3 linked regions of the Rattus norvegicus genome follow. The protein of the gene in region 1 interacts with the protein of each later gene in a pairwise test. Links are inferred from orthologs where the notes say so. Each region holds a gene or a part of one and is shown in the gene's direction. Other genes may lie near its edges.

What was found. The genes of interacting proteins can lie anywhere in the genome.
Region 2: the proteins of Nmi (region 1) and Brms1 interact in binary tests that used the Homo sapiens proteins (3 or more experiments, as listed by UniProt). The link is inferred for Rattus norvegicus from reciprocal best matches to the Homo sapiens genes NMI and BRMS1.
Region 3: the proteins of Nmi (region 1) and Ube2i interact in a two-hybrid assay, tested with the Homo sapiens proteins (3 studies listed by BioGRID and IntAct). The link is inferred for Rattus norvegicus from reciprocal best matches to the Homo sapiens genes NMI and UBE2I.

The regions. Positions count from the first base shown.
Region 1 is NC_086021.1:56,845,744-56,849,831, reverse strand, and holds the start of Nmi (N-myc-interactor), read left to right. Parts: upstream 1-1,288; 5' UTR 1,289-1,307; intron 1,308-4,088. UniProt on the Homo sapiens protein: Acts as a signaling pathway regulator involved in innate immune system response.
Region 2 is NC_086019.1:211,773,662-211,777,941, forward strand, and holds the start of Brms1 (breast cancer metastasis-suppressor 1 homolog), read left to right. Parts: upstream 1-1,480; 5' UTR 1,481-1,542; intron 1,543-4,280. Other genes in the region: B4gat1 (beta-1,4-glucuronyltransferase 1), read left to right, coding at 1-124, 368-559. UniProt on the Homo sapiens protein: Transcriptional repressor. Down-regulates transcription activation by NF-kappa-B by promoting the deacetylation of RELA at 'Lys-310'. Promotes HDAC1 binding to promoter regions.
Region 3 is NC_086028.1:14,795,455-14,799,734, reverse strand, and holds the start of Ube2i (SUMO-conjugating enzyme UBC9), read left to right. Parts: upstream 1-1,480; 5' UTR 1,481-1,548; intron 1,549-2,203; exon of another isoform or gene 2,204-2,342; intron 2,343-4,280. UniProt on the Homo sapiens protein: Accepts the ubiquitin-like proteins SUMO1, SUMO2, SUMO3, SUMO4 and SUMO1P1/SUMO5 from the UBLE1A-UBLE1B E1 complex and catalyzes their covalent attachment to other proteins with the help of an E3 ligase such as RANBP2, CBX4 and ZNF451.

The DNA.
Region 1 (4,088 bases):
TTTCAGCATAAGCGATTTCACTTTTGCTCTGGAACTCAGTCCAAACCAATGACCTCTTATGAGTTTTAATTGACATTTATGCTCCCACTCAAATTCAGAAGAAAACCTAATACCGAGACCATTTGTTTTTATTTTTCAAAAAATAGACAATTAATTTATTTATTTACTTTACATCCCAACATCAACACCTCCTCTCCTCCTAGTCCCACTCTCTTATATGTCCTCTGCCCTCCCCTTCTCCTCTGAGAAGGGGTAACCCAACCCTGGGAATCACCCCCCTTCCCATGTACCAGTCACTGTAGCCTGTACTTTCTAATTGGGCTGACAACACAAAAGAAACCCTTATCTTTTTTTTTTTTTTTTTTTTTTAAGACAGGGTCTCATATGGTTCTGGTGTCATTGTAAACTGGGTCCTATCACCACCACCACCCCCCCCACCCCACCCCCGCCCTCCCTGGCCCAGACAGGTTTTTTCCTGTATAGTCATGGCTGTCCTGGAACTCTGGCCACAAACTCACAGAGATCCTCTTGCCTCTGCCTCCTGAGTGCTGGGATTAAAGGCCTGCACCGCCGCCAACCCGGCCGCCCCATCACTACTCTTGATGCAAAGAATTTTGCTTCTGCCACTGTGTGTCATTTTAGACCGAGCTATGGGTTAATACGTACTGATACAGGGCACCACTATGTAGAAGGCCCTGATATCTCTTTGCTGTCTTCCACTCTTCCACAGCTCTGTGCTCAAGTGCCGCCCAGCTATGGAGTAACTCGTTCTTGGTATAGGATTAGGGGACACTACCATTCTTGACAGAAGCCAGCTATTTTTCTGGCAAAGGAAATGCACACATCTAGCGGGAGTGTTTGTTTACAAAATCTTCACAACAAAAACAAAGCTTAGAAGAAAACTTTCAAGCGTCATAAAATCCAACCCAGGAAGCAGCTTTTCCAGCTTCCTGGTCTGTCTTGTGCTGGTGTCAAACTTTGTAACCGTCTAGCAAATTACAGAGGGAATTTGCGTAGAGAGCCCTGGTTTCCATACAGTTTTTTTCAACAGCGCGTTCCGCAGAATGCACACAAATAAGCTTTTCAAAGCAGGTCTTGGAATTACTGCCAGTATAGAAACAGCAGCAATGGCGCCCGGGACGAGGTCCGCAGGGCAAGGAGCAGAAGCATCCTGTTTCTGAAATAAACGAAAGTGAAAGAACGGCCTGTGACTGAGCCTGCTCATTGCAGAGGCCAGGTTTGTGTTTCCGAGGTGGGGTTCGGTTCTACCGGCGCTGCCGGCTTCCGAGCGCTGCGCGGCAGAGAGGGTGAGTGCTTGTCCCACCGGATGGTCCTCTGCGTCCCTGCTGTCCCACCACCCTCGCTCAGGGATGCTCCACCCCGCGCGCTCAGAGGGCGGAGGACTGCGGCTTCCAGCCCAGCATTGTGGGCCTCAGGGTCCCCAGTGCTCTGTCTGGGGACTCACCTGCTCCGGGCTCTCAGCCTTGGGTTGCTTCCCTTCCTGGGAAAAGGAAAGTTATAGTCACTGGGACTGGCTCCAGCATGTTCTTAGTAAAATGGCTTTCCCGGGAAGACTATTATTCATTTTTCCTTGTTAGGTGCTGAATTCTGTAGTCACGCCTCACTTTTTCAGAATATGTAAGATTTTTTGTTTTGTTTTGGGAGGAGATGTTGAAGGGAAAATACTTAATAAATTTCTAGGAGGCCACTGGTTTGGACTAAGAGGACTCCTGTTCCAGAGGCATCCAAGCTAACTTGTGTGCCTCTGAAGGAAACTTTTCCTGTGTCCGGTCCAGCCAGGAGAGAGGGGAATCAGCAGGTTTCACTGGGCCAGAGAATGAAATCACCTCTCCTTTAATCGTCACATAAAGTTGCTGGACATTCACCAGTCCCTTATTGTGTTCCGGTCTCCCTGGCCCTGTCTCACAGAGAACTTAACTCTGAATCAATATGTTCACTTCCTGCTTTTTCAGCTTTCTTCCCTGCCTATAAACCAAACTTCTGCACAGCAACGAAAACAGTCGAGGCAACTGCTTTCTATTTACACTGTGCTGGCTTTGAACTCTTGATCCTCTTGTTACAGAGCTGTGCCACCACCCAGATAGACCAGTTACTTTATTGTACTCAATCAACTGTCCCCTGATTATAAAAGAAATACAATTAGGATCTTTTAATTGTTAAAATTGTATCCATCTTTTGACATGTTTCAGGTGTATACAGCATGGATACATTATATTTTCTTCCTTTCTTTATGCTGCCGGGAACTCGGTGTATTGCATCACCCCATCTTTGGACATGTTTCAGGTGTATACAGCATGGATACATTGTATTTTCTTCCTTTCTTTATGTTGCCAGGAACTCGGTGTATTGCATCACCATGATATAAGTATACTTAGGAAAATGAGATAATAGTTTATTTTTTTAAGTTTACTGCCATAATTAATTACATGGCCTTGGTGGCTTATACACACATGCGCCTGCATGGACACACTTTTTAATTTAAAACTATTTACTTTTAGTACCACTTTAAAACGAGATGTGTGCCTGTGTATGTCTGTGTGTCTGTCAGTTGTCAGGGTCTGTGCGTCTCCCTGGGAAAGTAAAGGGGCTAGCAGAGCTGTCTTCTGTCCTGGGAGCTCTTGGGACGAACTCCTTCCACTTTCTGGATCAGCCTTCTTTGCTTGGCTTGGCATTCCGTCTCCCATTTCCAAAGTCAGGATCAGCATTGCTTCTCTGATCGTGTTTTTGCCTCCTATCTCAGTCTAATGCTGATGTTATCCCCTCCTTTAATCTAGAGGAGTTTCTGGTTAGGTGAAGTTTTCACATACAATGCAGCATAATCTCTATATTGTGTGTGTGTGTGTGTGTGTGTGTGTGTGTGTGTGTGTGTGTGTGTGTACATACCTGAATGCACCTGTGGAGGCCAGAGATAGAACTCTGGATATTGTCTTCTCTTTTGCTCCACTTTAATTTCTGAGTCAGGGTCTCTCAGTGGACCTGTAGTCTTGGCTACACTGTCTGACAGCAAGTCTCAGAATGCACTGCACCTTGCCCAGGATGGGAAGTACCAGTGCTTACCCAGCAAGCTCTTTACCCTGGAGCCATCTCTTCAGCTCCTACCTCCGTATTTTACAATCAGCCTCCTGAATTCAGTTTGCAGCCTTAAATCTTCTCTGCAGTGTAACGTTTTTCCCAAGTTCTTGGGACTAGAACATGGATGTCTTTGAAGGGGTCATTTTTCTGCTTAGTATAAGATTGCTTGAAAGGGAAGAATTACCATACATTCCTCACAGTGTGAAAGGGAAAAATATTCAGATGAGAAATGCGATGAAGATATTCTGGGGGTGTTATGCAATAGACCACTTACATCAAGAGCTTTTAAAAATATTGGTGCTTTGGGCTGGAGAGATGGCCCAGCAGTTAAGAGCAGAGACTGCTCTCCTGAGTTCAGTTCCCAGTAACCACATGGTGACTCACAACCATCTGTAATAGGATCTGATGCCCTCTTCTGGTGTGTCTGAAGACAGCGACAGGGTACTCACATACATGAAATAAATAAATCTTAAAAAAAAAAATCTAAAAAAAATGTTTAAAAAAAGAGTGTTGGTGTTTTAATATTTAAAAACAATTGTAATTTCTCTCTTAAGAAATGTAATAAGAGGGGTTGGGGATTTAGCTCAGTGGTAGAGCACTTGCTTAGCAAGCGCAAGGCCCTGGGTTCTGTCCCCAGCTCCGAAAAAAAGGAAAAAAAAGAAATGTAATAAGAGGAGTTCATGTCTATATGGACATGAATATATATGAATATGAATATATATTTTACTGGGCAGAAAAATATCCAATATAAAATACACAGTATAGTATGCACAGTATAGTATAGTTCTTGGTTGCATAGGTTCCTGCCCTGAATGCAAGCAGGAGTGCCTGCCTGTAGTCCCAGTCTGTAGGTATTCGTTGCTTACTTAAAGTGACACATATAATTAAAGTGCCTTGTAAGCAATAAAGAAGAACTAATGTCTTCTGGGGAGGTCAGAAAAGGCTTCAGGAACCTTATGGAGGTTTGCTATGACCCTCGAAGAACCAAAGAATTT
Region 2 (4,280 bases), on another chromosome or scaffold:
TTTGCTGAGACCTGCCTACGTGGTGCCCTGGAGGGACCCCTGGGAACCGTTTTACGTGGCTGGAGGAAAGGTGCCCACATTTGATGAACGCTTTCGGCAGTATGGTTTCAATCGAATCAGCCAGGTACTTAAAAAGGAGAGGGCATGTGGGACTGGAACTGGAGGTATGTCAGGGATGGAGTGGCCATTGGTGGGAAAGAGGCAATGAAGCAAGAAGATGGATGGTGTAGAATTGAGGAGGGTGGAGTGACACTTTAAGGATGATCATTTGGGCCCTGGGGATATCATTAAGTTATTATGATTAAATTATTATGACCTCTCTCTGTCTCTCTCCCTCTCTTCCCTCTCCTCTCCTCCATCTCTCCAGGCTTGTGAACTGCACATGGCAGGGTTTAATTTTGAGGTGCTGAACGAAGGTTTTCTGGTTCATAAGGGATTCAAGGAGGCATTGAAGTTTCACCCCCAAAAGGAGGCTGAAAACCAGCGCAATAAGATTCTTTACCGACAATTCAAACAGGAGTTGAAGGCTAGGTACCCCAACTCTCCCCACCGATGCTGAGTTCTTTCCTTCCACGGTCTGAGAATTTTCAGCATCTGGCGCTTCAGGCCTGACTGGGGTAAGAACATGCCTCCACTTTACAGAGGTAGCTGTGGTTTTGGAACACTGGACTTGACTATGAGGTGCTGGGAGCAAGTCTCAGCTTTACCACTAACTAGTAGGGTGGCCTTGAGCAAAACCTGTTCCTTCTCTGAGCCTCCATTACCCCGTCTGTAAAAAGGGAGGTGAAAATACCTACCTCACAGAACTGTTGGCTCAGATGAGACGCTGTATGTGAAAACATCCTGTAAACTTCGTACAAATGTGAAGTATTAATATTGCTACAGTGTTATTATTATGATATTGTTATTATTAACAATGTTGGGTGGATAGCGGCAGAGCAAAAAGTATGAATGGGCTAGAGCTTGAGTATTTAATAAAATGAGCCTTTTGGAAAGATGAAAACATAGAACGTAGTGCTCAGAACTGGCGTAAAATGTAAGCTTCCTCGTTCTCTTCATGCCTGCGCCCTCCACCCTCCGAGCTCCAAGGAGGAAAGGGTCTGTAGGTCCTGGGGGTTAAAAGTCCCAGCTCTGTGCCCTCCTGGAGGTCGGGCTACTCATTTGCCTTCGGATGACAGTGTGTAAATAAACGAGTGTTACACCCACAGCTGGCTCTGTTACTCTCCTAAGCTGAGGGGTGGTGGGCCAGAGTATCGTGTTATATGGCGGTGGACCCAAGGACACAGACCACAATGCTAGGACAGGCTGAAGGCCTGGGACTGTAGGCCAGTTGCTATGGAGACCCGTCCGCCGTTTCCCGGCATGCCTGGACACCAGTAGTTCCATTGTAAGCTCCACAATGGGCGCCTTCTGATGACGTACACGGAAGCGTCGACACCTCCTGGAGAAAGAGGGACCTGCGCAGCTCTCTTCGGGAGACCAACGGCGGAGCGTTCACCTGTGTCCGACAGCTCTCCGGGACCGGAGGCCCCAGTCTCTGCGGTGCGTATGGCCACGCCTAGCGCTGGGTTGGGCTTCCCGGGTCGGAGTCAAAGCAGAGACTTAACCGGCCCGGCTCGTGCTGGCCTGAGAGGAGCCGGCGGTTCTGAGGGTGGATCGGGGTTGGACGGTCCCTTGCGCCTCAGTTTGTTTCCTGTGTTTGTAGGGAGGGGTCCGCTTTCCCTGGAGGTTTGCTCTGGAGGTGCTTATACGTTTGTAAAGAGAAATCTCATGTACATCGCACTTTACCGTGTGCCTCTTCATTCCCAACAATCCTCAGCAATGGTATATATCCCCTATTGTACCCGGGTTAAGGAGGGACGGTTGTGACTTCATTTAACGAAGTCAGGATCAGAGTCAGCTGGAGGAAGGAGATCGTTGAGTTCGCCCTGCGTCTTAGCAAGCATATATACCACGGTGAAAAGGAATTGTTAGTGAAGGGGATCTGAGGCTTGAGAAGGGGAACGGTGAGACTATTTTGGAGATCTGGATTTTAGAGCAGGAGGGAATGCTACTTAAACTCTCCTGCAGCTCCGGCACTATAATTACTTGAATGGGTGTGAAGGAGCGTTGGCACCACTCCAAGTAGGGCTACCAAGAAGTAAAACTCAATTCCTGTACCGCAAAGGTTTGTTAATTTGTGTTTAGAAGTCTTGGGTCGGGGTTGGGGATTTAGCTCAGTGGTAGAGCGCTTGCCTAGGAAGTGCAAGGCCCTGGGTTCGGTCCCCAACTCCGGAAAAAAAAAAAAAAAGAACCAAAAAAAAAAAAAAAAAAAAAGAAGAAGTCTTGGGTCATCAAGTGAGCTGGTACTGCACTAGGTGAATAGGACAGATTGCAGCCCCTGTCCTGATGAAACACCCACATTTCACTGGGTGGACGGACATGAGAATGGGAGAACATGGGACAAAAAACCTTCTGGGGGAGGCACGGGGAAGACTTACAGAGCAGCAACCAGAGATGTAGAAATAACACCATTTACACCAGTGTGAACTAGAAGCTTCTACATCCAAGATGGCTTATTCTCTCGGGTGATCTGGCAGCATCAACCTCTCATGTCTCCTTCATTCTGAAAATACCTTCCACCCCAACTTTAGGATTTTTTTTGGGGGGGGGTTCTTTTTTTCGGAGCTGGGGACCGAACCCAGGGCCTTGCGCTTCCTAGGCAAGCGCTCTACCACTGAGCTAAATCCCCAACCCCCAACTTTAGGATTTTCAATCTGCTCTGCAGAGGTTTCTCCCCCTGCCTCCTTTGTTGACCTTGAGAATTCCAGCAAAGACCCCTTGTCACGTTTCTGCCTGAATAGTCAGACTACATTCAGCCTAAACAACTTGCCAAATGGAGGTGGTGGAGCCTAGGTCTAGTGGAAGCTTGCATACCTATGTCCCCGGTCCTTTTCTCACATCTAGGTCTTTGTACTCTGCCGGGAATGTTTCTCTCATGTCAGCCTGGTCCTCACCTAGTCTGTCTCCCTCTGGAAGCTGTCACTGTAGCAGCAAGCTCCAGATCCTGTGTAAACACCTCTCCCATAACACCTTAGTTTGTCTCTCTTCACACACACCGTTATAAAGGTCTGTTTCTTTGCCTTCCCTCCCAGGAAGTTGTTATTTCCTCGAGGCCAAAGACTGACTGTCGTAGCTATGGTATAGCATCTGCCACAATCCACAGTGACTGTTGGTACCAGGCATATATTAAGTGTTTAGTAAGCTAAAAGGTGGGTGGAGGGACTTAGCAGTGTTTAATGTTTCTGAAAGAGAAAGCTCACCTAAGGCAAGCACTGAAAAACAGCGTTTGCTACAAGGCAGTTGATGTGTAATTCTGCCACAGTGGTTTCACTGTGAGTGCTGGATATCCAAATGCTGAAAGTCAGAATAGCAAGTGTGCACAAGGCCTGGAGAACTGTAGGAAATTAAGTAAACCGAGCCAAGTTTCATATTTCTGCATTCATTCTTTTACCTACTTATTTATTTATTTGAAATAAGTAAGTTTTTGACACGGCCTCACCAGCTATTGCCAGCCTGAAACTCTGTATAGCAGGCTGAGCTTGAATTTGTAGTAATTCTCCTGAGTGCTAAGATAACCACTACACCTGGCTTTATTTTTTTATTTGTGTTTGTTTTTTCCAGAGGGATCTAGTCCAAGTGCCTCTTTAAGCAGCAATTCTACCACTGAACTATACCCCTGACATACTGCTTTTATTTGCTTTTGTTTTAAGACAGAGCATCACTATCTAACCCACAATGGCCTAGAACTTGCAGACCTGCGTCAGGATGTGGGGGGTTGGGATTATGTGTATGAACCTCATCAGGCTCTTGTTTATTTCTTTCTAGTACTGAGAGTTGAGTCCAAGACCTCATATAAGCTAGAAACATTATCACAATTCTCTGCTCCCCACTACTTCCACCCCCCCAATGGCTGTCCTGGAACTCCCTCTGTAGACTAGGCTGGCCTTGAACTCAGAGTTCCACCTGCCTCTGCCTCTGCCTCTGCCTCTGGAGCACTGGGATTAAAGGCATGTGCCACTACCACCTGGCCTCTCTCTCTCTCTCTCTCTCTCTCTCTCTCTCTCTCTTCTTTTTTTAGATTTCTTTTTTTTTTTCTTTTTTCTTTTTTTTGGAGCTGGGGACCGAACCCAGGGCCTTGAGCTTGCTAGGCAAGTGCTCTACCACTGAGCTAAATCCCCAACCCCAGATTTCTTTTTTTATATATGTGGGTATGCTGTAGCTGTTTTCAGACACACCAG
Region 3 (4,280 bases), on another chromosome or scaffold:
GGCTGCTCTTGGTCAACATATGTAGGTGCCCAGGAGCCACCAGTCTTGGAAGCTGCTGTGCAGGCTGGGATGGATCCAAAATAGATGCCTTCTGTTGGGGGTACAGATCTGCTGGGGTCACCAACCACCACAACTGGGTGTCACGGACCTGTATCTAAGCAGACCTCATCTACAACTCAGCCCCAATGAGAGAATAAGGTCCCTCAGGATCTGGTGCTCATCGTGATCTTAACTCTAAAACAGTACGGCAAAGAACTGGAGAAATTAACAGGGTGAGCTCCAGGGAACGGTGGGCAATTATGGGCAAAGGGCATGGGACCTGGGTCTCTGTTCTGGGGCACCCAACAGCCTCAGAAGAGAAGAGGAGGACGAGGACGAAGGTTAGTAAATGGATGGAGACATTGACAGATAAACACTGAAGTCTCCAGCAACACAGGGCTCATATTGAGATATCCCAGGAAGCCCTTGTTGGCTGCAAGTGGCCCCGAAGGCTTCCGGCACGTGCCAAAAAATGGAGCAGGCGCCAGGATGGCCACCAGGGGGCCAGCCGACGTTTCTAAGTACCCGTCCCGTCGGTGAGTCGGTGAGGAAGCATCCGAGCACCGAGCTGGGTTGCAGAGGACTAGCGGAGGAAACTGGACTAGGCCACGGAGTGACAACAGCGTGTCCAGTGGTGCCAACAGAAGCCGCGCAGGGGTTTCAGGTGGAACGAGGTGTGGGGTGCAGCATAGGGGAGAGGATTAGGGGCGGGGGAGTTCTCGGGTGCTGCCCCTCCCCCATGGTTCCGGCCCATTCCCCTCCCCCACCGAGGGCTAATTCGTAGGTTAGGGAGCTTCCACATTTCTCTCCCCGTCGGTTTTGTTTGCGTTTGGTCCTTTGTATTAGGTCCGTTCATTGGGTAGGTTCGAGATTTACCCCGCCCAAATTCCAGGGCTAGCCAATTACAGAAAATGTCTCAACGCCCCGTATTCCGGGGATCGTCACCGTACTGCGACGATTCCCAGGATGTTTAGGCCTCAGTGATCTTTGCTCCCGGGACTCGGGCCTTGAGCCCAAGGATACCTCCAGAGCCTGTGCCTGGTAAGGTGCCCTCTGAGCATCCGAATGACCCTTGGAAATCTATGCTTTCTTTTCTTCACACGACTCTCTGATGTGTCCTCGAGTGGACGCGCTGATCCCGATGAGGAGTTTGCAGACGCTCCCTTGAGCCTAGGTCGCGTCCCCTTTAAGAGTGCGGCCGTTCAGGGGACCGCCTGCTTGGACAGGCGCCCCGGGCCCCAGCTCTGTAGGTGGTCGCGGGCAACGAGAGCGCAGCAACCGAGTAAGGGCTGAGCGAAGCTCATGTTTAAATAGACGGCGTAGGCTGCCGGACCGGAAAGACGGTACGCTGAGCAGGCGTGCGGCGGGCAGCCCAACTCAGGCCCCGCCCCGCCCCGCCCGCTGGGGTCCTGCGCTCCGGGCTGCGCGCGGCGGGCGCGGAGGGAAGTCCCGAGACAAAGGAGCGCCGCCGCCTCTGCCGCCGCGACGGTCCGGGCCGCGGTCGCCCAGGTGAGCCGCCACCGGCTTGCGCGCGCACTCCAATCCTCGCCTGGAGTCGCCGCCGTTCCCAGTGAGCTTCCGGGAGGCGCCGAGCGGAGCCACAGCGGCCTCCTCTCGCTCGCGGCCTCCTCCCGCCTCCGAGTCTCGGCCTTCGGGGCAATAGGGCCCAGCCGCTGTGCCATGGGCGAATGCAGGGTTGGGAACACGGCCCACTACCCCCCTACTCTTGGCGTACTGAGTTCCGCCGACCCCACAACAGATAATCTGAGCTTCCCAGTAGCTCCTAGACACATTCTGGGCGGTGCTGGGCTCCGTAGTTAGGCGAGCGGGAGTGCAGGAAGGCCGTGGGCACTGGGCCGTGTCGCGGCCTGTAAGCACCCGGAGTCACAGCAGAAGGCTTGGCTTACTTCGTTCGTTGCTGAGACGCTAGGCTTGTAGTTTGGGTTTTTGTGGGGGTCTTGTGCATGTTCTCTGCCCCACTGTTCTTTTTTCTTAAGGAACCGTTTTAGTGGATGAATTACCTCTCTGCATAGCAGAAAACGGGTATCAAAGGGGAATTTGTTTTGATTCTAAAGGTTTTCAGGCTGTGAGTGATTGCAGTCCTGCCCTCCTCTGGCTGTCTCTGCCACTAGAAACTCAAGAAACGGCGTGGTATACTTAGTGAAGGATCCTTAGGGCCTAGAGTGTGCATTCGAGTAGAAGAGGCCGCTTAGCCTTATCCAAGCCAGCCTTAGTGGCCGGTACCCACGTTTCCTCTGCCGAGGTGGGCGGAGATAAGCAACCTTGCACAGGTTCTCTGACCGGTAAGTAACTCTGAAGTAGGTGGTGTCGCCAGACGAATACTGCACACTGCAGGAACCTTGAGGTGGTAGAAAGACCCATCCCTCTGTGTTCTGCCGGTCTCTAGTAGTGGGGAGAGGATTGTATTTTGTTGTTTTTTGGGGGTTTTTTCCTTCGAATTTTTCTTTGCCGGGGGTAGGGGTGTATTTACATCACAAAACTTTAGCTCGTGGAGTGACTGTTACCGCTCTCGGGAGCAGCGGCACTGTCTCAAGGACCAGTTTCTGCTTAGATCGTTGCCAGTGTGTCTCTAGGGTTCCTTTTCTTTGACCGTGGGACCTTTAAGAGCTCTGGTAAGAGCCGTCTCTCACTTTGCCTCCCTGCTTTTGAGACAGCATCTCTTGTAGCCAAGGCTAACCTTGAACTCTTGGGGGTCCCCCTGGTTCAGTCTCCTTAACACTTGAGTGTGCAGGCACGAGCCACCACTTGAGCTAGCTTCTCGGTTCTTCTCACTTAGGATAACTGCAGTTGGATGCTAGGACAGAGTTTTCTGGGCACACAACTTTCTCCTGAGGTCAGTTATGGCTGTCCAACAGCTTGTGTAGCATAGTGTCCAGGCTTCTTCAGAGAACTGACCCGGGGTCCAGAGACCTGTTTGGAAACCCTGCCCAGACTTGCTTGGGATCTTCTGCCATCTGACTGGCTGGGTGAGGAGAGCAGCTCCTTCACTGCCTACCCTTAGTTAAAGAAGCTAGAGTGCTTGTACCCTTAAGCCCGAGGACGAGATTGGGCTTGTGCATTGAGAAGTTGAGAAGAGGGACACATTGGATACATAGGCTTCTGTGCCCTGCTCCAGCCATTGATGTCCTTGGGTCTACCTCTGCCCTCATACCCTCTAACCAGACAGCTCAGGTGCGCCAGTGTCACCTGGGCGTTGCTGTCAAAGCTTGCTCTTATCAGCAGCCCCTGTGGCCAGCAAACTGCCTGTCCTCTTAGATGGATGCCACCTGGGTCCTACATTGACTACAAGGACTATTATTAGGGCAGGTGTTGGGGTGGCCAGAACCTCCGTGGTTGTGCTTGTTCGCAGACAGGCTTTACTCCTTGCTGGGGAAAGACAGTTGGGTTTGGGCTGGACCCTGTGTTTTAGACTTGAGGTCGGTAAGAGAGGAGCCTTGCCTTTAGTTTGTACACTTTGTGCTTTGGGACTGGAGCTGTGGAACATAGGTGCTGCCTTTTGTGATTTATAAAAAAGGAATCAGGATGTTTGATAGAGCTAGGTATGCTTAGGAATGCCAACATTGTCGAGGCTTGTCTTGGCGGCTTGTGCTTTTTTTTTTTTTTTTTTTAATTTTAGAATCTATTTTATGTGCATTGTTGTTTTATCTGCATTCCTCTATGTGAGGTTGTCAGGTTCCCTGGAACTGGAGTTACAGGCAAATAAGCTGCCATGTAGGTGCTGGAAATTAAACCAGGTATTCTGGAAGAGCATGTAGTACTCTTAATTGCTGAGCTATCTCACCACTCCCAGCTTGTGCTTCTGAAAGTTTCTTCATGTTGGCTTAGAGTGTACAGGATATTAAAAATGCCAATACAGGGGTTGGGGATTTAGCTCAGTGGTAGAGCGCTTGCCTAGCTGGTTCGGTCCCCAGCTCCGGAAAAAAAAAAATGCCAATACAGGCGTTTGTCTAAAAGTGACCTCACCCACTAAAATGTTTCCTGAACTCTAGGCTCCTGGGTGATGCTGCCACCTCTGATGGCAGTCCCAGCCTTTCTCTACTTGTGTACTTGTACAGTCATCAAAAGCAGTCTAGGGTGCTGTGGTGCATAATTGTCAAGGCCAGCCTGGTCTACATAGTATGTTTCTGGCCAGCTGTGGCCACATGGTGAGAATGTCTCCAAAAATAAAGGAAAGGAAAAAGTGGTCTAGGAGCCAGGTGGAGTGACTCATGCCTGTAATC